Linked DNA regions of Rhinolophus ferrumequinum. The protein of the gene in region 2 binds, or shares a complex with, the protein of the main gene of each other region. Links are inferred from orthologs where the notes say so. Each region holds a gene or a part of one and is shown on either strand. Other genes may lie near its edges.

Region 1 (15,877 bases), on a different chromosome or scaffold from region 2:
CAGTAAGGAGGCATGAAACAGGAAAAGATCTTCTACTTGCATTTCCACGCCCACCCCCTAAATGCACCCAACACCAATAGGTGGTGGTAGGGAGAGATACACTTGTTTCTTTTATCTTGAGGTTTAGAAAAACTTCACCCTTCGTTGTAAGATCTCATGATTTACACACGCTGAAAAATCTGTCTAGAAACTAAATGTTGAAACCAGGCTGAAGTGCAGCCAACTCTCAATTATCCAGGCTCTGACTGATTTTCTACCTTGCATATGGCTGACCCACCACTTGGCTTGCCCTCCTGTTTTTCTGTACCTCTTTTGATGGACATTTCAGCATTCATTGGAAGAAGGAAAGCAGTTGGATGAGGAAATTCAACTAACTTGCATGTTCAATGACAGCGCACAAGGCAGAAGGCTATGCTGGGTTCTGGAGCTGGGTTTGCTATAATGATCTGGGGCATCTTGGAGAAGTCCTTTGACTCACTGAATGCTGTGTCTCCTCATCTGTGAGACGGCCAGGATTCAACCAGCCCTGCCTATCTCACAAACCAGTGTCCTAGAAAACGCGAAGTCGTCTCTGAGCTAAAAGTTATATCCGGTCCCTCAATTTCTAGGCCATTCTCAACTCTATATCTACGGGATATTCCCATCCTAACAGGCTCATAAAACACTAATTTGTATCTCCAGCAAATAGAATGATGATTCTTTCCCAGATCCAGCCTCCAGTAGAAACAAAACATGAAAGGATTAATAACAAAAACAAAACAAAACAAAAAAACCCAGATAGTCAAAGAACATCACTATTTTTTAGGCCTGACTTTAGTGACCCTGTGGTCTGATTTCTTAAAGGTCCATAGAAGCCAACTTTTCATTTTCTCGCAGCTCTAGCCAGTAGCCACTGTAAAGGTCTGGGTAATATCTGCCCCGCCCTGGAAATGATTGTTCAAGAAACAGGGACAAACAAGAGCAGAAGGTGGCATGCAGGCCCTCCACCGGAGAGTAAATATGACCTAGCCCACTGCGGCCACAGGTGAGTGACATACTTGGCTACCTGCCCGCCACCCCGGGACACACAGGAATGAACAGACTACACTTCCCCACACCACCCTTCCTACAAACCCTCAGCACAATGTCAGATCACACTTGTCCCCCTGACGCTCTCAATGGGGCCAGGGCAATAGGTGTGGGGAGGACAATCCTGAAGAGAATCTGGGACCTTTTACAATAACCAGGGGTCACCAGATCCCTCAGCCAAAACAGGGTATTCTCCACAGGGAGACTGGGCACATGCTACCAGGCCAGGAAAGACTCCTTCCCCTCCAAAAAGGGCAATATAAAAACCAAACATCACATCTTTTCTTACGGGTGCACGTCTCAAGAACTTTCTCTATGCCAGGAACCACAGGCAGGCTAGAACAGACCCCACCTGAAGTTGCCAGCCACTATGGCCAAAGACCAAACCATGCTCTGCCTATGTCTCCTCAGCATGGAGTGTGGAGTGTTTCAAAGAACACCCAAATATCACCTCCTCAGGTCTGAGTCATAATAGTCTTGACTTTGAGGGCAGGTCTCCCCATGACAACTCCCTAGCACCAATTTTATTCCACTTAAGCCAGTGCCTCCAGGGACTGCCCGGTCTGACATCATCACTTTGGCCTCCTCGCTCTGTCCCCAAGCCTAAGTTGGCTCAGCATCCCTCCCAACACCAAGATCTGGCCCCAAACATGTGGAGAGACGTTTGCCAAAACTCTTGGAAAAAACTGAAAGTGACTAAATGTACAACCATCTCCGCAGTCAGGGCTGGCCTTGCTAGCATCAGCTGCTGCCAGCACTTCCCGAGCCTGCCAGGGGAAAGCCGGACCGAGCCCCGCAGGAGGGGTGGGTGGCCAAGGTCAGCAGAGGAGGCAGGAGGCCATCTGGAAAGGCAGAAAGCATCCTGCCACCAGCACAGGCCGGACCTGCCAGCATGCTGAGGAGACCACACCAGGGGGTGCTGATTGAGGCATGGGTGGGGCGTCAGGGGGAATGATCTCTTTACATGCTTTGCACACCCACAAATACTCACCCACCAAAGAATAGTCACCTCCTCACCCAAGGAATGCAAACAAGAAGGGCCTCCCATGAGGCCAGAGATGTGTTTACAGCTCCCTCACCAGCCTTAATGGTATCCTGGGCAGGGCAAGAGTGCCCAGCAGCTCCTTCCATGAGGAAACTGAGGAATGAGGGAGGGTGTGGGGAGCCAAAGAGGGCCCCATGGGACAGCAGTTGGGGGGCTGTCTCTGATACAGAGGTGCTGGGCACAGACCAAAGGAGGGAAATGGCTTGATAGCCACAGATGTCCCCAAGGCCTTCCAGGCCAGTCTGGTTCGCCCTAATCCTACCCTGCCCCTAGGCAGGTGGACTGACGACTCCCACCCACATGAGACCTCAGCAGAGGCCTCTCCAAGTTCTGACCTCAGGAAGCTATTCCAAGGATGTATGGCAGGAACAATGAAAACACTTTGGGCTCTTCAGAGAAAAGGCACAATTGACCTGCAAAGAATTCTTCCGGTGTCATTCTCCCAGTGGGCTGGGCCTGCCATGAGCCTCAGCCACCCCTCTAGAGCCTTTGGCGCATGCCCAGGGCAGGTGAGTCACTTCACCAGCCAGTCAGGGCCCTTGGGGCTGAGTTGGGGGCTGTCCTTCCCCTGTCACTCAGGGCCTAGCTGCCAGTCTTGTCATAGGCTGATTCACTGGTAAACTTGGGGAGAAGAGAGAGGATCCCAGACCAAACCCTCAGTATAGAGGGGAGATGTCAATTCATGTCCACCTAATAACTTGCAGGATCAGCAGGCGAACACACACGTTCATGACCAAGTCTAATTAGGCTGGCAGACAAGTGGCATTAATCATTTTTGACTGTACCTGGGATTCAAGCCCCTCTCACTCCATAATCAGAAAATTTCATGCTCTGATGATAAAGCCTACATTTAATCCTTTCACTTTCATCTTTTGAGAAGACAGGAAGCGGGGAGGAGAGGAAACAGGCACCGCTTAGGGACCTCAGAGGGACTCTCTCAGCATTCCAGGTCTTTTCTCTGTCCCTCCACACTCCACTAGGATCTTTCTCAAGAAGAAGACACCAGTTAGAGTCGGGGGCAGGAGAGGGACGGGAAGTCGCAGATTCCACCATCTGTAACAACACAGCATTCCTCTCAGGGCTTCATTTTCCTAACATCCAAAGCCAAACATGGGTCTGAGTCTATGAAAATACTTCAAGCCACACACCTCAGCACTGGTGGATGCATTGGACAAGTAAAATATCATCCAAGTGCCCAGGGTTCCTGTACAGGGAGACTCACGTCAATGTCCCAGTAACCTCTTCTACAAAGAACCCACGACAAGGTGTGGGCCTGCATGACCTGACGACGGCTGTCACACGGGTGGTTCCAGTCTGCAGAGAGAGGCGGGTTAAGCCCAGCCATTCATGCAGTGACAAGGCAGGGCTGGAAAGGCTAGACAAGGGGCCCTGTGAGACACCAGCCTCATTCACCAAGAAAGTCCCCCTCCCCACCCCTGAGGACCATGGCAAATGCCTCATACTCACACCATAACTAATGTGTATCACAGGAAGGGTAAGTTAGGATGATAAGCCCCAGGGCCCCCCTTTCAACCCTATAATTCCAATCACTTCACACTTCATAGCTCTGAACAACGCCCCTTCCAGAGAGACAGGCTCCGGGAGCAGATGCATGGCACTCACTGGCAATATGCAAGGTACGTCCAAGCAATCCTCTTGGTTGAGTGGGACTTAGGTTTCCCCATTTTCCAGATCAGTCTCTGGTCCAGGAAGGCTTACACATCCACCAAAATGAGGTGAAAAGTCAAATGTCAACCTAATGTGCCTTCTACAGAGAAAAGGGTCTATGATAAGGGATATTCCCTGAGAACAAAGCTGAAAGACAGTTGCTGAGGTTCTCATGTTGACCATTCCCTCCTGGAGTGCTGGAAATGGATATTCTCACCCCTGCCACTGCCCCCACCCCAAAACACACGCACACATTCACACAACCACCTCTCTCTCTCTCTCTCTCTCTCTCTCTCTCTCTCTCTCTCTCTCTCCCCTCCCACCAATCCTCATTGGATTTCCTTCTCTATCTAACAAACACGATTCCTTCGATCCTGGAAATTAATATTAACCCTGAACCGCCCTGTTGGCAAATCCAGCATTAACCAGAGCTCAGATACAGACCTTGAAGCAGGGGTAAGCTTAAATTAGAGTAACTTTCACTAAAAAGGCAGGCAGTTTTCTAAAAGCTTCCCTTATTAAAAGCCCATTTTGCCAACAGGGCTCCCACCAGTGTCAGCCTCCTGCTCAGACAGATGTCATTCACATACCCACTGCCCTTCTGCTTGCTTCCAAGAGCAAGGAGCTTTAATAGTAATAAGCTGCCGCCTTCGTCAGCCACTCCTTACTGAGCGTGTGGTCTACGATACAAAGACAAGGTGCCAGCATCCTGGTGACCACTAAGCCACTGACGTTCTGTGAGGATGCTCCTCAGCCAGCAGGCAGAGTGACCGTGTCTAGAGGACACTGATACCTGCACTTCCGGGGATACTAATGGCACGCGCTACCCCACTTAGCTAAGCAGCCAGACAGCATCTGAAAACTGCACGCATTGCTTGGGAAGGTGATCCTAAGAAGTGTCCCAAACCCAGACAAACTGTCACAACTGTTGAGTGGGAGGGGATAATAGTAACATTCACATTGCATTAAACATTCATATTGCATTTTTTAGGCACTGTTCTAAGTGCTTTATATATATCAATTCATTTCATTCTGACAGTAACATGATGAAATAGGTAATGTTATCTTCCCCATTTTTTAAAACAAGGAATCGGAACACAGAGATTCCCAGGGGCACATTGAGACTTGGTGGCAGAGTTCACACCCTGGATGCACACCCTGGTCTTCTGCTTCCAGGCTGTGCTCTTAATCATTGCATACTGCTGCCTTTTACAAGTCGTACTTCAGACCCTTGCTTTTTAGAACAAAGATAAAATAAACCAACCCTGCCATGGAATTAGACCTTCAGTTTAAAGAAAGATGCTCAGTGAGTTCGGCTTGCTGTGTCTCCACCTACCCGTCCTCATTTTCACATCAGAATATTTCTTAACTGTTCCCATCCAGTCGCAGGCCCACAATTAAATATCTGTAATGACAAACAGAGACTCCTCTCCATAGCCCCTTGATTCCAGCTCTGCTCTCTCTCTCTCTGGTGTTCAGATATCCCTGGTTGGTATTAAACCTATGCAAGTGCCACCAAGTCACACAAAGTCAGAGGAAATGTCCATGCACCTGGGTCTTCCTGCCATGAGAAACTATTTATGAACCAATCGAAGGAAATAAAGTTTAATGTGAAGTTAACATCAATTCATTTAGTCATAGAGTATCATGCATATGCACATACAAACACACACAAATACACTGTTACCACCACCCCCCCAATCATAAAACTATGCAAAATGTTCAACAACTGATATAGTCCCCAAACATCTTAATACAAAATAAAATTCCAGTGAAGCAGATTCCCGGGAATCCCACACAATAAAACCCATTACAGTGAGGATACTGCCTCTGTGTCGACAGGGTTGGTGATCATAGTAAAGTACTCCAAGAGCCTTGAAAAGGCCAAAGCTGCCAACACATCCGCGGGCATTCAATTCTACGGGAAGGTCAGGGGCATTTACCAGTGATAACAGCCCTCCACCCACATACACACCTCTACAACTTTTGCTCTTTCCTTTTTAATCGGCATCTGAACTGTGAGTTCTGGTGTTGGAGGGACTAGCACCCCCTTCCCCCTCCAATCTTCCCCTTCCATTTAACCCTGGCTTAGATTCTGAGCTCTCTTCCCCTGCCGCCAGCTGCAATGGGAGGCATACTGTACAGCCTCAGCTGTGGACCGGCTGCAGAGAGGCAAGGTAGGGTTTTCCTGACGTGGAAGTAGCTGGTGCTGTCCAATGGTGCAGCTAGATGGGAGATCATGGGGGAAGGGCCCTTGCTGAAAGATGCAAACCACAATCCATTTCCAGAGATGCTTGCTAGAGTTATTCCATTGTCTGTGCTTTGTGCCTCAGATATTTTAAATACATATATAAACACATAAACACATGGATATCCTCTGCCAAACATGGGCAACAGCAAAAATGGGGGGATGGAGGTGGGGAGAGGACACCCATGAAAAAAACACACACATCTAAAACTGTAGGAAGAGAAAAATAATAAACTCCCAAGAATATTGCAGATTGGCTCAGAAAATCTGCACGCTTGGTGCCTAGTGTTTTCTAGTCAGATTTGAGAAGAGCCTGACTCAGGAGGAGGCCAGAGGGGCTTGAGAGCTCTGGGGATGAAGGGACCAGGCCAGAGTTGGGTAATTTTAGAGCATGATGACAGATGCAGTTACATAGGAGGAAGAAGAGGAGGTAGCAGGGCAGAGTCAAACATTAGAGCAGAGTCCAAAGGTTTGAGGGGCCAGAGGTAGAAAGCAGGAGGGGGCACAGGTCCAGGGTGACCTCCGACTCTCTTCAGCCTCACAGCTGTTTCTATCCAAAGCCTAACCAGGTCTCCTTCCTGTCCCAACAGGGCCCCCTGGAGGATGTACCATACAGGGACATGTACCATGGGCCTCCTATACCATAGATGAACAAACATGCCATTTTGTCATTAACCCTTAATAAGCACGGGTCAAATCGCCAACTCAATACCAGTTTCACTCTCACAACTCTTTCTCAAGAACCTACAACAAAAGCAAGAGGGTGCTCAGGAGACAACGGAATGACCTTGCGTCTTCCACCATCAACCCCAACCTGCGTGTCTGTGTGTGTGTGTGTGCGTGTGTGTGTATACACGTGTGTATCTGGGGGGGGATAGGTATGCACCCGTCAGGAGAAGGTATTTACTAAATACCGCAGAACCAAATCTGGGCAGTAGGCAGTCACTAAAAGATACCCGACAGCGGACTAAGAAGCAGTCTCCAGGGCTTATCTCCCTTAAAGTTGAGGAATCCCCTGGAGCCAGGGAGCGCAATGCCCTCTCCCGGTCCCAGCCGCTCGCCCATTGACTGCGGTCTTCCCGCGCGCCCCTCCCCTTGCCCACCGTCATACTCACTAGCGCAGCGCAGCGCCTGCTGCAGCACTTCTTGGCCGCACAGGTCACACCAGCCTCTGCCGCTCCGCAGCGCCAGTTGCGCGAAGCAGTGCCCCTCGCCTCGCTCCGCCGGGACGCGGGGATCCTGCGGCTGCTCGAAGATGCTCCGCACATCGCGGGGTCGGGGCGCTCCAGGCCGCCGCCGCAGTCTCTGCTGCAGACCAGGCCGGAGAGGGCGAGCGGGGCGGGAGGCTCGGGGTGGGGGCTCCGGGTCCCCTCGGGCAGCCCTTCGGGCGCTGCGCCCCTCGTGCGCCCCGGGCGCAGTGGAGAGGGGCGCGGGGGCACAGCGGCACGAGGACCGGCCGGGAGGCGGCGGCGGCGGCGGCTCCGGGCCGCTCAGGCTCTGCAGATAGCGCGGCGGTTCTGGGTCCAAGAGCAGCCGGTACGGGCGTTGCCCGATGGCCGGGGACGCCATGGCCATGCCAGGCACGCGGCGGCGGCGTTACTCCCGAGTCCTCCTCGAGAGGAGGGCGGCCCCAGACCAGCGGCCTTTAAAGGGACCGCAGGCTGCGGGGCGGGGCGGGGGCGGGGAGACTCCGGAGAGGCAGGAAGGACGACCCCAGGGAACCGCGGACCAACCAAGCCGCAGGGTTGGCAGTGGGGGGTGCCCGAGTGGGTGTGGATTTCGGGGCGTCTTCAGGAAGCGGACTGGTCAGCTGGAGCAACTGGAGGATTTCGTATGGGAAAGACTCTATTCGGTACAACTCAGATGAAGCATTTCTGTAGAGGGCCGTCTGCCTTCAGCCCGCCTCTATCCCTCTCCCGTCATTTCCCCGCACACCATTCACCCCCACCCGCACCCCAACACGCCCAGGTGAGAGGGCGGGCGGAAGGAAGGGCTTGGGAGCTAGCAGGGAATGGAGTCTAACGAGAAGTCCATGGCTAGGTAGGTGTCCGCCCGCCACGCTCCCTGTTTCCAGCGGACCGGAGGGATGTGCTCCTTTGCTCTTTCTCCCTCCCACTCTGCCCCCTGCCCCCCCCGCCCCCCCCGCCCCCGGCGAGCCAAGCCCCGCGGTAGTCGGAAATGCTGGGCTCTCTCTCTCACTCCCACAGCCGCGCGGAGTCCGGTGATGCGGGGGAACGCGCCGGGGGCGGAGGGGACGCTGCAGATGCTGACCCCAAGAAGCTGTCCCCCGCGGCGGGCGAGGCTATCCGCGTGCGACTTTCACTCTCCGTGGATTTCCCCTCTATTAGCTGCCCTGCCGGTAGGATATTCCTTGCCCAGAAGAGTGAGGTTAGGGTAACCACGGGCCCTGGATTGTGAGAACACTCTAGCGGCCCGTGGGTTGGGAGAGCTTTACTTCCAAAACCAAACCCTCCTGTCCTCCGCTGTTATAATTACTGTGGAAATACCAGCCCCGCACCCCCCTCACACACACCAAAGCCCTACTTTGTATCTGATATTGACAGCTCACCTGTGGGACCCAAGTACAGATCCCTTTGCTACCAGCATCACGACCATCTCCGTCACCCCCCCCCACTTTAATGCTCTGCTGTCACGGTCCTGATAGCCTTAATAATTTTTTAACAAAGGGCCCACAAATTATATAGCGGGTCCTGATTATCTCTCATAGGTGAGGAAACGGAACTCCTGGATCTTGGAACTTGTGTCTTGACATAGACCAGTTGTATGACCCTGGGCCCTCTTTACCTCTATGGTTTTAACTGTAAATTAGTCTGGGAGTGAGGGGACAGGTGTATGCTTTTGTAGTCCTTACCAGCTCCACCACGCTGACTCAGTGATCACTGCCTGTCCTCTTAAAACTCGGGTAGGGGTTGGTTGGTTTATCAGAAGTCACCAGAAACCAATTTTAGGAATAGTCTAAATTCTTCTAGCTCTCAGACTCCTCCTCTTCCCAGGCTAGAGATGGGTCTCCCCCTAGTGTCTGATGGGGGGAATCTCCACCTTTGCTTTTCATTTTCCCCTCGGAGTAATTTTTAGGTAATTCCTAGCAATTCTAGTCTAGTGGCCAGGGAATTCCCAGCCTGCTTTGGTCCATGGCTTCTCCCTCAGGGCAGGGATGATCATAGAGTCCTCTGCGTTTGTAGCAGAGGACATGTTGCAGGGTCCCTGGATCTCACCAGAGGCTGGAAATTCTCACCTCATGATGTGGTTTCTGGGTAGGTGGGAAGAATGACCCACAGCAACAAACACCACAGAGCTACAAAGAGGAGTTGAGATGAAGAATTGTGAGCCACCAGCCACCCCCTTCTCCCCTACTCCACCTTTCCTCTCCCCTGTCTGAAATTTGCTTTCTCTTCATCAGCGGTTTTCAAACTTTGGCATGCATGGCAATCACCCGGAGGGCTTGTTAAATCACAGATTAGTGCACCACCACCACCACCACCACCCCCATACACACACAGAGTTTCTGAGTCAGTGTGTCTGGGGCAGAGGTTTGATATTTTACATTTTTAACAAGTGCCCAGGTGGTACTGATGCTGCTGTTCCAGGAACCCCACTGCTCCAGATCTAAGATGGTGATAAGAGAATGGGTTTCTCCATCCTTTTCCCCACAGGGCAGGTGAAGTGCAGTGGGACATGACTGAGCAAAACCCAATGGGAGGGCTATTCTGGAATGCTTTCAGCTGAATGTTTAAAAAGGAAAGTACAGTTCGCCTTTGTGCTCTCTTATTCCCATCTCTCCCACTTTTTTCTGCAAGCTGGCTCTCAGGGTTATGCAGAAACCTGTACTGCATATAAATATTTGCTTGTTTCCACCCTGTGTTATCTATCCATCTCCACCAACTTGAGACTCGTTCTGGAGCTCACTCCCACCCAGGAGTGAGTGAGGTTTAGGGTGTGGACCGAGTGTGAGCTCTGGGTGCCAGCTTGGTGTGGCAAGAAGAGGGGACCTGGCAAAGAGTTCATTACTGGGAGGCAGTTTTGAAATGCCATTTGTGAAAAAATTGCCAGCAATCACATCTATGCTCTTTACCACCACCCCCCACCACCCCCCAAGCATGAGTTTGGTCAACTCAGGCCAGATTCCCAGGATAGAGAGGCTCATTGAATGAGTGTCTCCTCTGGCCCTGGAAGACTGAAGACTATATGGAATAATCAGGCATAACAAAACAAACAAACAAAAAAACCCTTCCCCCTTGCCTGAGCTGTACAGAAAAATGCCCTGGTTTCTGTTTTCCTGAGGCAGCTCTGCAGCAGGAGAAGTGGGTGCTGGCTGCTCTCAGCACTAAGTGGGGGAGGATACCCCCACTATGCAGGCCCAGAGCCATACATTTAGCTTCTGGAGGGGACAGAGATGAAAATGGAGATAGCATAACTTCATGTAACCAATCCAAAAGTTTATCAAGTTTATCTTAAGGTTCATCTCCCTGAGCCAAGAAATTGAGGTCTGGAGAGGTAGTTGCCTTGCCCGAACCCAGCAGAAGCCTCCCTGCCTATGACTTGCTCCTCTGATGCCATCTTTCCCAACACAGTCCAGTCCTGTCCCTTCTTCCTTGAAAGAACATCCCCTCCCTCCCACGCGTGCACACAAGGACGCATCTCATTCCTTAGTACTCCCAAGGGAAGCACAAACGACTATGTAAACTCTGTTTTCATTGTAGGGTCAGGGCAATGTCTGATGCTTGAACTTCAGCATTGTTTGGCTCAGTCTTTGTCATGCAGGCTACACGGGTAAGACCACAGCATCAGCAGGGGAGACACCTCCACTGTGAGCTTTTCCCTATGTTAGCAGATCCTCGTGGCCCAGAGCCATTGACTTTTTCTGTTTGTGACTCACTCCCTGAGGAGTGGGTGTGCTGTTTTTACTTTTGACGGGGGAAGCATTATGATAGTGAGTTTGAGTTGTGTGGTCAGTGTGTGAAGTCATTTCCGAGGTGGTCCCCGAGAGTGTCGGTTCCCCCACTGGGTGAGTTGTTTCAAGGCTGCCCCCCAACCCCCTACTGAGCTTCCTAGTAGGAAGGAAAAGGGAAGGACACAAGTGCCCTGACTTTCTGAAGGGGAAGTTTTTGGTTTTGTTTGGCTTTGAGGCATTTGAAGTCTCCTGAAATCCCCGAAGCGTTTAGGGAGCTCCCAGTGACTCTGACAGCTCTGCTCTCTGCATAGGATCACGGCACCTGTCAGGACAGGTTAGGTTACGCTGCGGTAATAATCAACCCCCAAATCTCCGTGCCTTTAAACCAGAGACTTTTTCTCTCACATAACCTTTATGTTTGGCAGGGGGGCTCTGTTCATCAAAACTACTCAGGGACCTCATCTAATGTTGCCAGTCACCATGCCAGAGGGAAGTCGAGAGAGCCCGGAGGGTCCTCCACCAGACTTTAAAAGCGCCAGTCACTTCTGCTCACAACTCATTGGCCAGAACTGGTTACACAGCCCACCCTACACAAGGGAGCAAGAAGTGCAACCCTACCGTGTGCTCAGAATGGGAAAAGAGCTCATCACTACCACAGTCTCCAAAGGCACAGAGCAGCTATTTATTTAACAAGCAATTATTAAATATCCATGATATATCAGGTGCTGTTCTGGGCACTAAAAGTACAGTGGTGACATAGACATGTTCCTGAAGCTTACATTTTAGTGGGAAGGCCAGAAAATAAACATACAAACATAAGTGTAATACAATGTCAGGTTATAAGTGTTATGATGAAAAATGACGCACATTATGGGAATAGAAAGTGACAGGGGCTGATATTAGATTGGGTGGTCTCTGAGGAGCAGACATTTAAATATAGACCTGAATGGAGAAAGCCCTGTGTCTCTGAGCAAGGGTGGTACAGACTGAGGCAACAAGAGGCAGCCCTCCACCCCCACTTTCCCAAACTTTATGAGTATGAGTTTGTTCCAAACCCCAAACCCCACCTCCAGAGATTGATTCAGTAAGTCTGGATATTGTCCTGTATTTTATAAGAGAGTTTGATTAACGTGACTCACAGACCATGCTTTGAAAATGTGACCAAGGCAGTAGGTTGTGTGATGTGGGATTGTGTGACCGCTCCAGAGACATTTGAGAGAAAACACTCTGACCCTTGTTAATTGCAGGATTCTAGCTCTCCGAGCTACTTCCTTCCCTTCTTGGGCAGCTTGTCCCACACAGAGCTCAGCCTCCCAAGGAAGTGGATGTTGTTTGCAATGTGTAATTAGGGTCAGTAATACCTTCCATTGCTAGACTATGAGCAGGGACCATGACAAAACGTTGTCAGGGAATTAAAATGTTTGTGAAAGTCCCTTGAAAATCCTCATGTTATACGTATTTACTCAAGAAATGCACATCGAACACCTATAATGTGGCAGGCACTCATGGCTTGAATGACTTCATCTTCATGGCCACTCTGTGAAATGGCTGGTACTCCTATCTTACAGATGAGAAAAAGGAAGCTCAGAGAAGTCATGTGACTGGCCCAAAAACGTGTCACAGTCTGGACTCAAATCCATGATTTTGCCTTTGCACTGCCCGGCTGATGTGGTAAAAGCGACAGTGTTTAAAAATCTCTGATCTCTCTTTGTAGGTGCAGTTTAAAGATCAGCAAAATCTTGCTCCATTTTTCTTTCCCTATCAAATCCTGTTTGACTTTGAAGGTCTAGTCCAAGTGCCAGGTCTTCCACAGAGCCTTCCCAAGTCACCGAGAACTAATTCATCATTCTTTCCTCTGGGCTGTCATTGTCGCTTGTGTCTCTAATATTACATCCTAACATGAATCACAATTAAAATTTGACATTTCTGCCTCCCTCACTTGGGTCTTGTTGGTCTTTCTGATCACACTACGCAGGGCAAATAGGAGATGTTCCTTAAATGTTTAATGAATGAACGCTGCTGTAGCTCCCCACCTGTACCTAATCCAGGACTTAACTCTTTTTTTTTTAATTGGGGAATATTGGGAAACAGTATGTTTTTCTAGGGCCCATGAGCTCCAAGTCAAGTCGTTGTCCTTCCATATAGTTGTGGAGGGCGCAGATCACAACTAGAACACTGAGGCAGAGTTTGCGACGTCCTGCAGAGAACATGTGAATGGCCCAGCATGGGCAGATCCACTGAAATAGGCACTGTCCCCCCTTACAGCTGAGGCAGAGAAGCCATTCTAACGGTTCACAGGCCCATGTGGGAATTCAACCGGCAACCCTGTTAAGAGCTGGTGCTCTAACCAATAAGAGCTCGTGCTCTAACCAATTGAGCCATCCAGCTGCCCAGGACTTAACTCTTAACATCCCTTTAAGCCATGGCATCTGTGTGAGGGGTGGGGTGGAGGGAGATGAAGGAATTGTCTGATCTAGGGAGAGTAGAAGGTGCTAAAGAACTGCTGGGCCTGGGTGGAAGTGGGGATGGTACTGAAAACTCCAGTTAAGACTCATGTACATGCTCCAAAGTTGCTGGTCGCTGGGGTGGTCCTGACTCTAGGTGCTAGTAACTGGCCAGGGGTGAGGGCTGGTAGGTCACCATTCCCACTACAGGGGACGGGGCTTTCTTTGTGTCACCAAACTCGAGCGCTCCCATGGGGATCATGTAGGTCTTTGACAGTGCTTGGGGACAAGAAGGGCAAACCAGGGTGGGAATGTGAGCAGGCTTTGGAGGGCTCCATGTTGGGTGAGAGTGGGTGGGGCTTGTTTTCAAGCAGCTCAGTGGCGCCTCCTCTGTCTCAGTTATGGAATTTTCCCATGCCAGGCCACTATGCCAGGCTTATGATAAGAATTATTTGTGTGTGTATGTTTCTTATTTCTGTGTTGGAAAAACTCAGATATTCCGTGCACTTTCGTCAGCAGCTTTTTCTCCTCAGGCAGAGGGAAGCCTCCAAGCCACAGCCACTTACATTCCAGCACTAATCCAGCTCTGGGCTCGTCGCTGTGGCAGGAAGCCATGGACTGGGATTGTGACAGGCCAGCAGGAGAAGAGTGGCCTGGATGACCTCATAGGCTATCCCTGCTCCCACCCAGTCCACCACACACACCCCTCTCTCTCCTCTGTGTCTGTCTTATTCCTCTCATTTCTGCTCCTTCTCCCCATCATTCTTTCTCCCTTTCCTTCTCCTTCCCTCCTAATCCCTTGCCCTCCCCACCCCTCCATTTCTCTCCATTCTTCTCTCCTTCCTTCCCATCCTCTCTCCTTTCCTCACTCCCTGCCTCTCTGTCTGGCAAAGGGTACAAGGAAAGGACCCAACTGTTTCAAGTGCCTGCTGTAATTCTGAGCTTCCAAGAAAAATAGAACTGAAGCTACTTGGGGTCATCCTGGCCATCCCTTATCACCTCCCATTGGGGTTGCCTGATTCAGGATCCTTTGTAAGATGGAGGGCAAAGACTCCAGGAGTCCCACCCTTCACAAAATCATGGAAGCAGTTTGGAAGTGATCCCCAAATGACCAGTGCTGGGAATCCTTTGAGCTCTCCCCTGCTAACGTGAGGCAGGCCCATGAGAGCAAATGGTGGGTCCAGCAGGAAAGTGGGCAGGCCATTGTGGAGCTCTACCCTGTCCATTAGAATGGCTTCTCTGCCTCAGCTGTTGGGGGGGGGGGGGCAGTGCCTATTTCAGTGGACCTGCCCATGCTGGGCCATTCACATGTCCTCTGCAGGACAGCTGCAAACTCTGCCTCAGCGTTCTCAGACTTTGGCTTGTGTAAGAATCACAGCGTGATGAGGGGGGAAGCTCATCAACAATGCAGGATCCTGGGCCACACCCTTATCGACTGGACTCAGGCGGTGTGTGGGGTCCCAGAATCTGTGTTTTGAACCTGGACACCAGCTTATAAAGTGGAAACTACGTGGATTCTGAGACAGACAGAGATACAGCCCTGCAGTATCAGAGTGCGAGAGCAGCACCAGGCCCTCCAGAGCTGGCTGCACATCCTGCCTGCAAACTGGGACATGTCCCCCATCTCCTTCCAGTTAGGCCCCCTTCAACTTGAGCCAGCCTGTTTTAAGAGGCCACGAATCTGACTGCTGGGTGGACACTTCCCAGATATTTGTGACTGATCTGAGCCACTGACAGCCGCTCTGAGATGAGAGCTTGTGTTTCTTCACCCACCTGGTATGGGGGGGCCTCATAGCCGAGGGGGGTGGCGTGGGGAGGGTGGGCAGAGAGCTCACATTGTGTTTCAGGCACTCTGTGGAAATATCTAATCTATTCCTACCCATAAAAAGATGTATCTTTAAAATACCAGTTGGACTTGACCTAAACCTGTTTCTATGGATCCCTGGGGAAAAACCCAAGTTCCTTAGTGTGGCCTGTGAGGACCTTTGGGTCTGGCTCCTCCCTTTCCTCAGCATCTACTTCCTACTTCTATTAGGTTGGTGCAAAAGTAATTGCGGTTTAAAAGGTTAAAAATAATTGCAAAACCCGCAATTACTTTTGCACCACCTTAATACTTACTCTCCAGTGACACGAATACTTGTGATTCTTTCCGCGCCGAGGCTGGTGCTGTTCCCACTGCTGGGGATGCCTTCCATGCCTTCTTTCCTAGGTAACTCAGCTGATCTGCCAAGCCCCCACCCTGGAGTCACCTGCTCCCCAACTCCGTCCCCAACACCCTCTCAGACTAAACCAAGCACCCTGCCCTGTGGTGGTGGTGACAGTGAAATGACACTGCACTCGAGCTGTGCATTCTCATCACAGCCCCCTCCTTGTGAAACTGAAATGCCTGCCTCCCCCGAGGGAGCTCCTCAGGGGCAGGCAATGCGTCTTAGTCACTTGGTTCACTGCAGGTACTTACTTCACGTCTGAGGAACTGAACAGTCTCTTCTTTT
Region 2 (16,721 bases):
ATCAGAGAGTCCTTCATTTCTAACTCCAAAATACAACTTAAATCTGTTCACTTCTCTCCATCTCCACTGACTCCACCTTCTCTAGTCATGCACTATTACAATAGCCTCCTAACTTGTTTCCCTGCCTTTATTCTTAACCCTCTACAATCTATTTGACCCAAAGCACCCAGAATGATCTTTTAAACATATAAACTGTTGAAAATTCTGCTTAATGACAGCACTCTATAGTCTAACTTAAATCCAAATTCCTTTCCATGGCCTGCATCAATGAACCCCCGCCCATCTCTCTGACCTCATCTCCAACCACTTTCTCTCATTCTGAGGCAAGTTGGTTAGCATGACATCAGGCAGTCAGGAATTCCCTGGTAGAATGAACAAAAACAGTCATACCTTCAAAGCCTTAGCCCTGAAATAACTCACTCCTACCAGAACAGAAACATCAATTACACTCTGAGGCAGCTGGGTTATTTCAAAAGCCTCCTCCAGTCTGAGCCAGAGCAGACCTGATAAGACCGCACCAGTAGACGCCAGCCTTTCTCCTCAGATATACAAGAAAAAGTATAAAAACATAAGCCTTTTGCCTTAGCTAGTGGGCATTCCAGTCAGGTACCCCCTCTTGTTTGAGAGCTGCATCTCTTTGCTTTAATAAACTGTCCTTTTCTGCAATTCCTTGCCTCTCTGGTCCGTGCTTCCATTCTTCGGTTCCGCAGGACGACAATCCCAGCACACGCATAAAGAAATGTTCCTACATCAATTCCACAACCAAGCTACAGTGGCCTCATTTCAATTCCTCCCACACAGCAAACACTTTCCTACCTTCAGGGTCTTTTTATAGCTTTTACCTCTACCTGGAATACTCTTTCTGGCTACTCACATGGATAACTTCTCAACCTCCTATAGCAGCTTAAGTATTACCTTTCCAGAGAAGCTTCCTCCAACTGCCCTATTAAGCAGGTTCCACCATTTTTCTTTTTCAATACCTGCTACTTCTATCCTTCGTAGCTCAAGCTCCAACTAGAGCGTATGTTCTATCAGGGCAAAGATCCCATCCATTTCATTGAACAGTGTTCCCAGCACTGGCATTTAAAGGCTGCTAATTATTAATTACTAAATATATGAACAAATGAGCAAATGAATCAACTCAAGGCTGACAGTCTATCTCTGTTATGAGCAACGAGCAGAGAGTAAAGAGAATCAGTTTTTAGAAAGAAACGGGAGAATGGGGCAACCCAGCGGGAGCAGGAGAGAAAGAGTGGCTCCAGAGAGAAAGTCAAGGAAATTAGCTGTTTTCCTCAAATATATAGAAAGCTCGCCAAAACTACAAAAATAATTTTAACCTGCATTTCTTTCCAATTACAGGACTCTAGGAAACCAAATATCCTAAAAATGAAAAAAAAGATCCAGACAGATAATAGTATTCTATATTTTGAATACAGAAACTACCTCATCCTTAGAATCACATATGCTCAACAACTTCCCCAATTTTATAAGTGTGGGTGTTTGCGTATGTATTTATCAAGATATCAATATTTACATCAATATTTCTGAAATGTCTGAAAAACCTTACTCAATTCCATCTCTTTACTAAACGTTTGATATATTAACAATTCCCTGTAATTTTCATTTTGCTACAAAGTCATTTCTAAAGATATATTCTTTACTATACTTTTAAGAAGTTCAAGGTAATCTACAGTTTAATATTCATGGCGTGCAAACAATGAACTTATTTTTATTATTCACAGGTCTGTTTATATATTTATTACTTTCACTTATTCAATTTGAGACTCTGTAGGAAAAAAAATTGTAATAAGACATTTCAAATATAGAATCTTTGTTCTAAGAGTAAAAATCTTCTTAATTAGAATAAGCCTAACATATGAGGCAATTCAAATAAAATCACAACAAAAAATAAGCTTGGGACAAACAAAAAAGAAAGTTTCTATCAGGTAATATAAATGTTCTCTTTAGAAAAAAAATCTAAAGACCTTTGGTAGTTATAGAGGGTGGATCTGGTAGGGAGTCAGAAATTGAGGTCACCATAATTATAGTTGGATGTTTCCAGGGCATGGGGCTATTCTACACCAGAAGGCAAATAAGCTTTTGCCTCATGGCAACCTTTATGTATTACATTTTCCTTTGTGAACTCTGTCAGACATTATAGGTAATCATTTTGCACTCTTCCATACTTTAATTGGGATATATATAAAGTGTTCAAAATATAGTAGCTTTAAAATGATAGTTTCCTCTCTCCCCTTCACCTCTTCCCCTTTTAGAATCTTAAAGAATATCTCTAGTGCGTGTACAGGTTGTTATAATTACACCACTCTGGATTCCTTTGACAACCCCATCATCAAGCTTTTAACTGTCAGGATGGAATTAGAAATAAAATCAATTTCCTGACTGTCTCTACTACATACAACAATGTTTTTTCAAACATTAATAGGCCATGAAAATAATTTGGTGAATCATGACCAGCAGTTTTTCAATGAAATGAAACAGAACAGAAAATAGAAAACTACCAGAAAACATCGTACATAGTACGTGTCATGAAATTTCTATTTTAGTTTTACATATATGTGGGTCTGCACTGGATCTCTTCATCAATATTAAAAAACAAAAAATTATTTTTTGAAAGCCACTAATGCATAATGGCCTGAAGTGACAGTTCCTCTAGTTCAACACACTTCTTTGAAATCAGAAAAATTAAATTCTAAGCACTTTTTCCCCCTTACAATCCAAACAAGAAGTACTCAATTTAAACCTTTTATTATTAAAGCTTTACTGATACACACTTCTGGAATGACTATTTAAGTTACATCAGAAAAACAAGCTTCAACCTAGATGTGTTTAATAAATGTTTACCTTTTTCTTAGATTTCTAACAAATTCTTCAGTACTAATATATGCCATATTTCAGCCCCTTAAAGACCAGTGGATAAATTAATCATTGCCTAGAGTTGACTGAAGACTGAGTTTCTTTACTGTCTTAATGTGTAACTAGCTTGCACAGGAACTGATCCAGATTTTGTTGTCACATTTCCTCTAAGAAGGAAGAGGCAATTGATTAATCCCGTCTACAGGGCCCAAATCAACTCTAATGAAGTTGGTGCAACCCCAAATTAACCAAGAAATGCCAAAGGAGCATACTCTGTAGGGACCAAGTCATTAATGCAAAAAGATGTTCCTGTTTGCTCAATTCTTTTCCCCTTGGACTAAGGACACCTCCTGCAGTTGCTTGCCTCTAAAGTTAGGAGTTTCCCCAGGGCCTCCTCCTGAGGCTATACTGCTTTTATTTTGTAAGAGTTCTTAGAGTTCAACTTCTCAAAAACAAAGCCCCACTTTGAGAATCTGTCTGATAATAAGCGCACAAGAATATCGCCTTTCTAACATTCCAGGGACACATGAATTAAGACGATAGACGTAAAATGACGTCCACCCCTCTCTCATTGCAGTGTCTTCATGGTTTTGCTAATACCCTACTTATGGACTTTCCTGGCTTGTTGCTGTCTATTTATCTCCACTCCTAATTTCTGGCCTACAGTCAGGGCTATTCATGCTATAGGCTAATGTGGGCTCAATGTGCTGAGCAAAATATGAATACTTTCCACTTTACCATTCTACATCTTCATCCCTTTCCCTTTGCTTTTGCATTCCATAACAATCTATCTTCTGGCTGATCATCCATTCATTCACAGCAACATTTTCCCATAAGAAATGATTGTTTTCTTGCCTTCAGTCTTCATTTATGTGAGTGCACTTTGCAACCCTAATGTTTAGACTTCAATCTTCAATTTTACTTCCTCCAAACTACCTTTTCATACTATAAAAAAATAAAATTTGCCACAGAATTCAACTATAGCTTAAATCAAAGAACTCCTTTCACCTGTCTTGAGAGTAAGCTTCAGTAACTTACTCTCTCATTATCCTTCCAGTGTTTTTCACTGTTTCACACCAACTTTTCCTTCAAATATACCTTAATCAATGTATTTTAAATTTTAAATAACTATTAATCCCATATTCTAATTGAGGAAAGTATATCTCTCCAGCAATGACATTCTATCTTCTCTTTGACAAGTACTGTATATAACTACCTACCCTCATGCACCCAGAGTTCTCCTTGTTGCCCAGCTGTCTATCAGAGACCCATTTCCTTTCCTATGAATGTTACACTTGGTTAAGAGCCCATGTTTTCGCCATTTCCTTTCTACCTGTCAAACTTATCTATTCCGTGGTCATTTTTATCTCAGCTAGAGGTTCCCCTACAAAGGAATTTGATAAACTCAACTTACAAAATGTTAATAATTAATAACCATTTCATGGATTTCCCTTCCCAGAGAGACGTCATTTTAATAAAGTCTCAGACCTCTGTGACAGACCTGTTATGGAAATCAGGAAATCCAAAAGCCATTCTGGTACCTCATGTCAGTGACATGGGTGACCACATCAATTGCTTATGTTTAATACATGACTTGCTGGGAAGACCAAATCAATAATGTGAGGGAAAGAGGAGCCTTACAGATCTAGTCATGACTCTCAGATCTGGCTGCATATTGGAATCTCCCAATTCGCAGAGGAGAAGAATGATTGCCAAAGAAGCAAATTTCAAAGTTAGCACAAAGCTGAGCCTAACACCCAGGCCTAACACTACATCAGATATATATGAACAACATGCTAAAAGTGTAACACAAGTATGAAAATGACAAATACCCAGTTCAAGACAGAAACAACCCTGTGGGGGATGGGGAAGTAATGCAACTGAGAACAGATATACTTAGGGGGCTTCAACCGAATTGGTAATATTTTATTTCTAAAGCTGGGTAGTGATGCGTAAGTATTGATTAAATTAGTCCCCATTCATTATCTTTTGTATGTTTAAAATTTTATAATTAAAAAAGAGCAATATGACCATGGCATATACTCAAGTGAATATCATATTAGGAATACAGGGAAATATCTCAGGCTAGAAAGTACTCAAATAAGATACTTTATGAAGCAGGCCTGGAAAGAAAAATAAAACAACACAGGTTACTAGCAAAAAACAACACAAACTTTTCTAAAGGAAAAGCATGAACAAAGGCAAAGTTTGGAGTACCCACAGCCTACAACCAAAATAAAGAACAAAAGGGAAACTTCAGGACAAACTGATCTTGGAGAATAGTAACACAAGGCTGGAAGTTAAGGCTTGAGATTAAGTGATGGGAGCCTTGGGTACAAAACTGACTAGTGTGCCCCAACCCTCCCCCCCACAAAAAAAAAGGAGTAGCATGAATGAAGTGCTGCTTTAGAAAAATAAATCAGAAGCCATGTGGAGGATGAACTAAAGCAAACATGAATCATTAGGAGGTTCTGTAGGACAGCAAAAGGCGAATAGAAGGAGGCAAGGCCCTGGGGACCAGGTTCTAGTGCCCTGCCCTACTCCACACAGAGCCCTTCTGCTGCTCAAATTTTTGAAAATTGGACTACAGTGCCCAGATGGAAGGCACTGCTATAAATCAAGCGTGAAGGTCATAAAACCCAGCAATATGGAGGGTAGAAGTACTGAAAATCAAAAGGGGGAGAAATGAATCCATATACTTTTTGATGAATAATTTGATAGGATCTAGTGACAACTAGAAGGGATAATGAAAGAGTGGATCTACATGAAAAATCAAAACTACTAACTGAGCAGCAGCCGCTACTCGGACAGACTTGAACATCAGCAACATAAATGTGACCATGTAAAAATGGCTGAGCCTTAAGGAAGTGCTACTCAACACAGAAAGAAAGAAAAGCAAAGGACCATTCTTACAGGGATTAAGTTAACAAGCAAAGGGGACCAGAAAATTGTAGAAAGAGTTGACCACCACATCATGGAATGCTTAGAAAGCAAGCAAGGGTTTCAAAAAGAGGCATCACTGTACACAATGAGAGGGTGCACAGCCTTTGCAGCCAGTCTGGAGATTCTGGCACCTCCTCCACCTGACCAAGTTATTTAACCTCTCTGAGCTTCATTTAATAAGGAAAACATAAACTAACAACATTATAGAGCACATGATAGAGCACTGTGCTAAGTGCTTCTCACATGACCTCATTTACTCCTCACAACACATTCTTACTGATGAAGAGATTAAATTTAGAAGTAGCATAGTAAACTGCTAACCAGGATTCCTATTTCTTAAGACAATAAAATAAAGGAATGTATATATAAAGCTCCTGGCAAACAGTATGATCTCAGAAATGGTAGCTATATTTCATTATTAGAAGGTAATGATTAATAGGGACAATACAAAAACTCACTATCGGTTCTCTCTCTCATAGCCTTCCATGCGGCAAACTCTCTTAGTGTCCTCATCTACAAAATAGGATTAAACGCCTGTAACCTAACATACTCAACAGGGTTGCTATAAGGATTAAATGATATTATGAAAATGAAAATATTATGAAAAAAAATTTAAGAGATATTCAAATATATGGAATTGTCATTTATCTTTTGCTCTGCAAAAATGCCTTCCTGGATTAACATGTGTCTCTTAAAAGAGCTAAAACTAAGTCTGCTAAATGTGTAACCAGTACTTTAAAAAATGTAAGTTACCATGAAATGGTGAAGTATGCCACCCACCCTTCGCCCTGACCCCTCCAGGTTCTCTAATGTACTTGCAAAGGCAGAGGTTCTCTTACATCTATAATGAAACTGTGATAACAGAGTAGAGCTAATCAGAATAGAGGTCTACTTCAATTTAGAGTTGTTCAAGTTGGCCTTAGGGTGTTAGCTTAGAGGTTCCCCTTACAGTACTTCCAAAACAAAAAAGGAAAAAAAAGTTTCCTGTTTTTTTCACTAGTATTAAAACTGAGTGCCCAATCAATACTAGAATTCTGGTACTTTACAAAATGCCAGAGAAGAATCTATCAAGGGCTGTCTGATAGCAGGTCTCTTGGAAACCTCTCTCTCTCTCTCTCTCTCTCTCTCTCTCTCTCTCTCTCTCTCTCTCTCTCTCTCTCTCTCTCACACACACACACACACACACACACCGCCTCCCTTTTCACCTGAACAGATGGTTTCCAGGCCTCAAGGCTCACATATCTAGTCACCCGATTCACAATGGCTCACAAAGTTCCTACCTTTTTAATTATTTCATGTTCTTGAATATACCACTTTCCATCTAAAGATCTCTACGTATCAAAAATCACAAAACTCATCTTCACAACAGCACTATCTGGGAGAGAGATTAATACCCTTATTTTATAAACTAAAACTGAAAAACTGAAGTTAAATGTTTTTTTAATCCAGCATCACTTAGTTGATTGATTCATTTGGGGGTTGGGGGGAAAGCACATTACAAACTTAAGTAAATGAATAGCCTTGATTTAGCTTTCTAAGATCACTTCAAATATTAGCTCAAACTATCTACTGTGTACTCTTACACTTCCAATACATCAAAGATTAAATATAACAGTAAATACCAAAACATCACTATTTTTATATGCTAAAAGAAAAAACAAAAACAAAAGTATATGGGGGAGGGGTTCTAGTTTAAGATTCCTGTCTTGCATCCATAAATACTTCTGAACTTGAGGGGGCTGAGGAACACCTGTCAGTGCGGCATATCCACAAGTTTTACAGGCTGTGTAGCTATGAATATATAATTCCTTAAACTGTAAATAAACCCGCCTTCTCAAAAAAGTAAAAAGGTAATATTATTTTTTAAATTTGACAAGAAAGTCGACATGGTTTTAAGAAGCCCATTAATTTCCTAGTTTTACGTCTCCTTGGCTTCGTGAACTTGCCACGGGGGAAAACTCTGCCCGTCCCGGGAGTCTGGCCGCGGGGAGCCCGGCAATGCCCGACTTTCCACGCGCGCCAGGCCGGGCGCGGGGCAGGCGACGGTCCGTCTCCCCTCTCACCCCCTCGCCCCGCGCAGAGACGCGGCCGGGCACTGGGACCAGCCTCCCGACCCCCGGTAGGCCCGGCTCCGGGCCCGGCAATCCGGGAGGTTGTCACCGTCCGGCCCGGCCTAGCCGCCCCCGCCCTGCGACCGCCGCCTTCCTCCCTCTCCCCGCTCCCCGCGTTTGTTACCTCTTGGGCGCCGGCGGCTGCTCCATGGCGGCCGGGGGCAGAAGGGACCGGGGTGGGCGGCGAAAGCGGGAGGGAGGAAAGAAGCCGAGGCACTGGCCAGCGGAGCCCAGGAACCACACAGGGAAACTCCAGGAACTCGGAACAACTTTCCCGTAACTCCGCGGCGGATCCCCCTCCCGCTCCAGAGTGCGGCTCCTCCCGCACCGCCCCGCCCCTCAGCCGCAGGTCGCGGTCCAGGGAGGGTGGGCGGAGCCAGGCTCTGGGCAACGAGGGCGGATTCGGCGGCGGAGGGAAGAGCTGGCCTTCGTACAGGGAAGGGGAAAAAAATGAGGAGAAATTGAAAGAGCGAGAGAGCAAGGCCTAGTCAGGACCCAGAGCCTCTGTAAGCTGGCCAGGGGTGTATGCGTTTGAGCTGGCACTCCTCACTTGCCCTCATTGTTTTTGCCCCAATTCGATTTGATTCATTTTTCTAGATTTCTCAAGGATACATCTTCTGCAGCTGTTTGAAGTAGCACTAACTGCCCACGCACGCTTCCCTGTCTAGTTCTGTTTATAATTATTCATTATATTTTCCTCCAGCCATTTGACATTTGTAGCTACAGTTAAGGATACTTAGTACTATATCTGGAAATTCTTTTTGATTTTGTGGACAATCTCCTCACTACATTTCACAATAATTATGTCTAATTACAAAGAAAACAATTAGTGCAGTGAGCTCTCTCAGTGCACCAGATTCAATGCGGGCTGTTCAACTGGGTAACCTGGCAAACTGAACAAATTGTGATGCGTAGAAACGTACTCAAGGAAAGTTTGTTTCCTTCCCTCTTGTCACCCTTTCCTTCCGATTTCTTCCCAAAGCACTTATGCCATTGTAATTTGACCCCTTCCTGCATCCCTGTTGTGTGTATACCGGAACCTTAAATTCTGTCTATAAGTATCTTTGTTATGACCACATACAGCTACTATATAATGGCTTTGCTTTTGACAGAAGTTGTCAAGATGTAGTGTCATATAGAGCTTTTGAAGAATAGAACAAAGAATATGAAGAGACTGTTGAATAAAGAAACTTTATGAACATCAACTCAAACTTGTCTATTAATAGTTATTCCTCTTTTTGCATTATTTTGTTTCACAATGTAATAAACTAACATGATTTATTTTCAAACCATTACATTGCCCCCTAAATTTAGTTATTTTAAGTTTGTAAAGACCATTTATTATTGAAACCTAAGCCAAATTCTGTAAACAAGAGAGATTATTGCAGAATTTTATATTATTTTGTTTATTGAAGATCCACAGTCTAACAGTTCAGAAGTAACAGGACCAAAAACTAAGGTATTAAAATGTTAAAGCTAGGAAGAACCTTTGAAATTTCATTATTCTATCTCTCACTCTCATCCTCACTTCTATGCTCTATTCCCATCTTCTTATATTTTGTTAGAAAAATCTTTCAGAGAAGGTCATTTCACCCTTTTAAAAAAATTGTCACATTTTAAAATGGGCTCAAATTTTCATACTTTAAAATGGACTCTTAATTATGTTACCAACCTTAATCTCCAGGAAGCCTTTCCCAGCCAAGCTCACAACATCATCACCCCACTACTTCCGACACTTTGGTGAAAGAGATGCTTCTTATATGTGACTATAACACTGTGCTGGCTTTTTGTATAGTGCTTATTGCACTGTATTGAAGTTCTGTTTATTTGACTGACATCATAACCCAACTGTGAGTCTGCTGGGAAATGGACTATTTCTTTATTTTCTCTGTCCCTTGCATAGCAAGTGCCTTATACATAGTTAGGACACGGGGTTGGATAGCTTCCTTTTGTTCCCCCAAATTCACTCTCCATCCTTTTCCATCAGTTTTCTGTCCTGAAGGCTAACCTGTATGGCTCACATCACTGAGCTCCCGCCCCCTTGATTTATGGTTGTGTCTGATGATGTTACTGGCACAGGGCCCCTTGCCCCTCTCAGAATAGAAATCAAGAGAGTAAGCAAACAGTTTTGCAGAGAGACAAGTTTATCAAAGCAAAAGCTTGATGCACCAAAGGAGCACACTCCAAAAGAGAATGGATGTGGCTTCCCAAGGCTTACAGGAGCTGCAGTTTTATAGGCTCTTGGGTTCAGGGCCACCTCTTCCTCTTTCCCTTCTTCTTCCCCAAAATATACTGAGGCGTGTCCTACACCTCGCCTGTCCAGTGTACCTACTGCAAATTCAGGTGTTGCATGTCTCATTAGCATTTTAAATTCCACTTATGAGAGTGCTTTTTACTATGATGATAAGGAAAAGTTAACTATAGGACAGCTCTTTTAACTAATGCACACGCACAACCTTAGAAACTTTCCCTAGACCCGCTTCTCTCTCCTCAGATTATGGTTCTGTCTGCTCATTGTTTCTTATTGGCCAGGAATGCTGCTCAAGGTTGTTTTCTCCAGCTGCAGGTTCTGGCTACGTGAGTACCCCACTTGACCACTGACCACAGTGAGGGCCACAGGACTATAAGATCAGGCTATTTATTCCCCTGGTATCCTTCCTGTGAGGTAACCTAGGGTGAAACTCTGCTTGCTTCTTCTTGTCTCTTTGGGCTTATAGATGGTGACTATTCTACTATTCCCTGGATTCCTCTTCTATTCCTTATGTTCCCCTATACCTCAAACCTCCTCAAATGACCCTACCTTCAAAAGGGTTTCCTATGGGAACGCTGACTGAGACACCCATAAAGAAGGTTTGTGGAAGGAGGAGGAATAATATCAGAAAAATCTCTAAGGTCTCCCCTCAATTTGAAAGGGAGAGAACTAACAATTATTGTATGACTTTAATAAGATCAGACACTTGGCCTGCATTATCTCATTAAACCCTTAAAACTGCCTCATTAGGTAGTTGTTTTTACTTTACAGGTGAAAAAACTGAGGTTCAAAAGGGTGAAGAGAGTTACTCTAGGCCAAACAGAAAATCTGCACTGTACCCCAGGCCTTTACAACTGCAATACCAAGCCTTATCCCACTGTAAGTCAGTCAGTAAATATTTACTGAATACTTACGCATGCCGTTCTAGGTACTGGGGATTCATCAGAAAAGAAAATAGACAAAAATTCATGCCCTCATGAGGTTTATATTCTGGGTGGGGAAACATAATAAGGTAAATAAGAAACTAATCAATAATATTAGGTACTAAAAACTGGTGAGGAAGAAAAATAAAATATGGAAAGGAAATATAAAGTGGAGGGGAAGGGATGAAATTTAGATAGGGTGGCTAAGGAAGGCCTTAATGAGAGGGCAACTAAAGAAATTCAGGGGAGAGCCATACAGATTGCTTTAAGAAGAGACTGTGAGGCCAAAGGAAGTACTAAGGCCCCAAGGCCAGTGTGCCTGGCATGTCATGCGTTACTGAATAAAAGGAATTGTTTTTTTCCTGAGTTACTCAGAAAAAAAAAAAGGGCTCAAGTCCCTGTTTTAATTTGCCTATAGAAAGCAGCCTGAAGATTCCAAGAAACAAAGCATAGACATCCTCATTCAACCTACGAATAAGAGGCAGCAAGCCTTCATGAACACATGAAAGCTATAGGAAAATTTGAGATTCAGATAAGGGTCACTCAGCTTCACTTAACTGTGAAAGTAGGGTAATCTGTTTCTGCTTCCAACTGTTCCAATTAGAATCAAGATTAAGTACACGCTTTAATTATACTAGAAAACAGCTCACCAGAATTCTCAACTGAGTGCTCCAAGAGAAATTTGAGAAAAATCTGCAATTTGGGACCCAGTTCCTTTTGAATAACAAAAATGCATTCGTTGTCACAGAATACATACATCACCATGTTTTATGAGGAGAAATATATTAAGATAAAATAAGTTTTTCCTTGTTATACTAGTTGCTGCTGTTTATTAAAACTACATGTTTCTGGGTGGCTGGGTGGCTCAGGTCGTTGTAGCGCTGTGCTCCTAACACCGAGGTGGCCGGTTTGATTCCCACATGGGCCAGTAAGCTCCACCCTCTACAGCTAGATTGTGAACAATGGCTCCACCTGGAGCTGGACTGCCATGGGCAGCTGTGAGTGGCCATGAGCTGCTGTGAGCAGCCAGTCGGCAGCCAGCCGGCAGCCAGCGACCGGCTGGCTCAGCCAGGTAGAACACAATGCTCATAACACCAACATGGGCCAGTGAACTGCGTCCTCCCCAATTAGACTGAGAACAATGGCCCCAATCGAAGTTGGGAGGGGAGGGGGGGAAGGGGAAAAAAAGCAAAACTACTTTTTTTCTTATTTTTAAATTTGAACAATAATACTAATTAACAACTGTCAATCTTTTCTACTATTACCAGGAAGCGTTTGGGACAAAGAGAAAACTCTGGTCTAATATATTACACTATGTGACTTTATTTCCAGAGAAATTCAGAACTATTCCTTTCAACGGTGAGTTTACAAAGCATTTTCTCTAGATTGGTTTCTTTTTTCCAACATAATTTTATAGTTAGCCTGAAATTGGCATATTGCTTTTGAATTCAACCACTATCCTCTTTTATCATAGCAATTTAAAAGTTGTATTTTACTTATTTGTTTCCCTAACAAAACTGTAAGCTTCTTAGCAATAAGGATAGTATCTTAGTCATATTTGTCATCACAAAAGTCTTGCATATCAGTTAACTACAAGTAACAACTCAAAATGATTTTTAAAACAAGAAGCCTAGAAGTGGTGTTTGTAGGTTTGATTCTTTGATTTGCTTTCATTTCCTGCTCTACTGTGCACAGCAGGTTCTCTTCATGCTATCTCCCTATCCTCAAACAATGACCACCAAAGTTCCAGGCATCACATGGAGACATGAGAATGTCCAGCAACAGAAGAGGGTTATTTTTTTATGAATGCTACCATTTAAGATGGTGGGGAAAACGATTCTAAAAGACTTCTGCAGGTGACCGTTCATATCCTATTGTCCAGAACTATGTCACAGACCCATCTCTGAAAAAGGAAATGGTGTCACAAAAACCTGCTTAAACCAATTGTGATTTACCACCATGGAGTTGGGCTTGAAGTTGAGGCTGAGACCAGCATTCCCTGAAGTATATGGCCAGGAGAAGCATGAGAGAAGGACAAAATTAAAATCTACTATTAAGAAATAATGGAAAAATTGTTATTAGGCAACAGCCTATAATGTCTGCTAAATATATGTACCTAGAATATTACAGTCATTGAATAAATGTTTGTTGAATGAATGAATGGATTTCCATACAAAGAAAACATCAAGACATTTAGAAACATAGATAATTCATAAACTACATGTTAAGTGAAAGTGAGTGTACCATTGGTCATTTGCCATTTATTTTCTCTCAGTTCCAAATTCATCCTTCATTGCCTGCTCTGTTTAAATGGAGCTAGGTCCTCCAAGCTGAACAGAAATTCTATAACAAGGGACATACAGAAGAAGAAACGTTGAAACTAGTAGGAGAGTCAGAGATGTGGAACAGGTTGGTCCCACACCCACCTGTGGCAGTTAAAAATCGGGATGGATATCTCGGCTACAGAGGTCACTTCTGAGAAAAGAGGGGCCCCAGCCATACACCAGGCTTCCCAATCCAGGGTTCCAGTGCCAGGAAGAGAAGTCCCCACAACTTCTAGCTGTGAAAACAGCAGAGATGGTGGCTAAGTGAGACAGAGGGTGGCTAGAGTCCCAGATATTCCTCTAAAATGGTCCACGCATGCACTTACCTGCTGACTGACTCACTCGCTCAGAGATCTAGCACTAGAGCATCAGCTCAAAAGGTGCCAGGGACATATTGAGAATAAATGAATTGTCTGGTTTCAAGGTGAGAGCTGGAGAAGCAGCTTTCTTCCAGACAGAAGTGCTGCTGGAAGGCATTGTTCTTTTGCTAAGCCTCCCCTACTCCCAGCATGCAGATGTAACCTAGTGCCATATCTGAGTCTCCATCAACCTGGCTAATACTCTTCATCCCACCCTGGTGATTCCCTGAGACCTTGCCCCACCCAACTTGTATGTCCACTGAAACAGATTTCAGTGGGTTATTCATAAAAATGGCCTGTCTTGGCTCATGCTTCAAACTTCCCTGAAATCTCTCAAAGGTTCACAAACCCCAAACAAGGAACATCTGGCCTAGGCATGCCCTGTACCACTTACTAGGCAGCCCCAAGCCTGGAACTAGCGGCAGTTGAACTTGGTTTGAACCTTAGCCTCTCCCAGGCACCTTCAAGTCCAGCTCGGTTTGCTTTGGAGCCCAGACAGCCATCTGCAGATTGCTTTGTGGTTCATTCTGAGCGGCCTCAAGGAGGCCACACACTGCAGCTGAACTTGGTGAGGCCACTCCCAGGAAGCCCTGTGGCTGGCACACCAAGTGGCTGGCTCTGGACTGCACTGGAACACCATCTTGCTGTCTGTCGTGAGGGGTGTCAGGCGGGGTATCCGGTCCCACTCCCCACACAAAAACTCAGGACATGGTGAGGCCAAAAAGGAACACCCACGGAGCCATAGGTAGGGGAGTCATACCACTATACTCTCACTGGCGGCTGGGTTGGAGACACAGGAACCAGGAGCAACACAATTCTCAACCCTCACTGCGCCGTTTGCAGACTCAGCACCATCTTCTTGCTAGCTCCCCCTTTTTTTTTTCGCTAGCGTAGCCACAGCAGTTATATTCGTGACCAATGGCTCACTGGTTACAGCTGACGGCCAACTAGCCACAGCTGCTGGCCATTTGATCACAGTCGATGGCCATTTACTACCTGAGCCAGCACCTTTCTATGTGAGGCCGAGAGCCTGGAAACTGCTTTTTGGGGCTCTGTCCCCACACTGTCTCTGAGGACAACACAACCCAAGGGCAGACTGTGAAAGTACCAGATACCTGCTAAAGTGAATCCTGCTCCACAGGGTCAGCCCCTGCACAACAGCTGCTCCAGTGTAGTCATGCCCAGTCCTCACAACCAATCTGCCCAAGGGTCAATCCCTCCTATTAATGTGCAAACAGCCACCAAGCCTCAACTACAACAGGGGGGCACACACAATCCACACAAGGGACACACTTGGAGCACCCAGCTAAGGTGACCAGGGAGACTGAGCTACTGGGCCCCCAGAACACCTACTACATAAGGTCACTCTACTAAGACCAGGAGACATAGCATCTCTACCTAATACATAAACACAAACGCAGGGAAGCATCCAAAATGGAGAGACAAAGAAACATGTCCCACATGAAAGAACAGAACAAAACTCCAGAAAAAGAACTAAACAAAATGGAGATAAGCAACCTATCAGAAACAGAGTTCCAAACAGTGGTTATAAGGGTGCTCAATGATCTCAGAAAGAACTTCAACAAAGAGATAGGAAACATAGAAATGGAGAAAGAAAACATAGAGAAGAACCTGCCAGAAATGAAGAATATAATAAATAAAATAAAGAATACATTAGAGGGAATCAATAGTGATAAGATGAAGCAGAGGGTCAAATCAGTGATTTGGAAGATAAGGTAGCAGAAAACACCCAATTAGAATAACAACAAAAAAGAGTCCAAAAAAATGAAGATAGTGTAAGGGACCTTGGGGACAACATCAAAAATACCAACATTCGCATCATAGGTGTACAAAAGGAGAAGAAAAAGAAAAAGGAATTGAAAACCTATTTGAAGAAATAATGATGGAAAATTTCCTTAACCTGGCAAAGGAAATAGACATATAAGCAAGGACATAGACATGTAATAGGAAATAGACATGTAAGCACAGAGTCCTGCATAAGATGAACTCAAACCCACACCAAGACACATTATAATTAAAATGCCAAAGCTTAAAGACAAAGAAAGAATCTTAAAAAGCAGCAAGAGAAAAGCAGTTAGCTACCTATAAGGGAGCTCCCATTAGACTGTTAGATGATTTCTCAACAGAAACTACCGGCCAGAAGGGATTGGCATGAAATATTCAAAGTGATGAAAAGCAAGGACCTACAACTAAGATTGCTTACTCAGCAAAGTTATCATATAGAATCAAAGGACAGATAAAGAGCTTCCCAGACAAGAAAAAGCTAAAGGAATTCATAACCACAAAACCAGTATTACAAGAAATGTTAAAGGTTGTGCTCGCTTCAGCAGCACATATACAAGAAATGTTAAAGGGACTTCTTTGACAACAAGAAGAAAAAAGATCAAAAATATGAATAATAAAATGGCAATAACTATATATCTATCAACCATTACTTTAAATGTAAATGGATTAAATGCTCCAATCAAAAGATAGGGTGGCTGAATGGATAAGAAAACAAGACCCTTATGTATACTCCCTACCAGAGACTCATTTCAGATCCAAAGACACACACAGACTGAAAATTAAAGGGATGGAAAAAGATATTTCATGAAAATGGAAATGAAAACAAAAAGCTGGGGTAGCAATACTTACACCAGATAAAATAGACTTTAAAACAAAAGCTATAAGAAGAGACAAAGAAGGACACAGTAATCCCACTTTGGGGTATTGAACCAAAGAAATCCAAAACACTACTTCCAAGTGACATGTGCATCCACATGTTCATTGCAGCATTATTTACAGTATCCAAGATATGAAGGCAACCTGGGTGTCCATCAGTGGATGAATGGATAAAGAAGAGGTGGCACATATATACAATGGAATATTACTCAGCCATAAAAAAGAATGAAATCTTACCATCTGCAAAAACATGG

Evidence for each region.
Region 1: the proteins of STK3 (region 2) and RASSF5 are in contact, whole or in part, in a crystal structure (PDB 4LGD), measured with the Homo sapiens proteins. The link is inferred for Rhinolophus ferrumequinum from reciprocal best matches to the Homo sapiens genes STK3 and RASSF5. Residues at the interface, in NP_006272.2 of Homo sapiens: Phe437, Phe439, Leu440, Leu445, Leu448, Gln449, Arg451, Leu452, Leu455, Asp456, Met458, Met459, Glu462, Ile463, Leu466, Arg467, Tyr470, Lys473, Arg474, Pro476, Ile477, Leu478, Ala480, Met481, Lys484, Gln488; in NP_872604.1 of Homo sapiens: Trp369, Asp370, Ala371, Phe372, Ile374, Leu377, Gln378, Phe380, Leu381, Leu384, Glu385, Glu387, Glu388, Lys391, Ile392, Val395, Gln396, Lys398, Tyr399, Phe402, Arg403, Lys405, Leu406, Ala409, Leu410, Ser413.

What each region holds. Positions count from the first base shown.
Region 1 is NC_046305.1:24,872,191-24,888,067, forward strand, and holds the start of RASSF5 (ras association domain-containing protein 5), read right to left. Parts: upstream 7,629-15,877; 5' UTR 7,605-7,628; coding exon 7,145-7,604; intron 1-7,144. UniProt on the Homo sapiens protein: Potential tumor suppressor. Seems to be involved in lymphocyte adhesion by linking RAP1A activation upon T-cell receptor or chemokine stimulation to integrin activation.
Region 2 is NC_046297.1:40,654,977-40,671,697, forward strand, and holds the start of STK3 (serine/threonine-protein kinase 3), read right to left. Parts: upstream 8,245-16,721; 5' UTR 8,079-8,244; coding exon 8,053-8,078; intron 1-8,052. UniProt on the Homo sapiens protein: Stress-activated, pro-apoptotic kinase which, following caspase-cleavage, enters the nucleus and induces chromatin condensation followed by internucleosomal DNA fragmentation.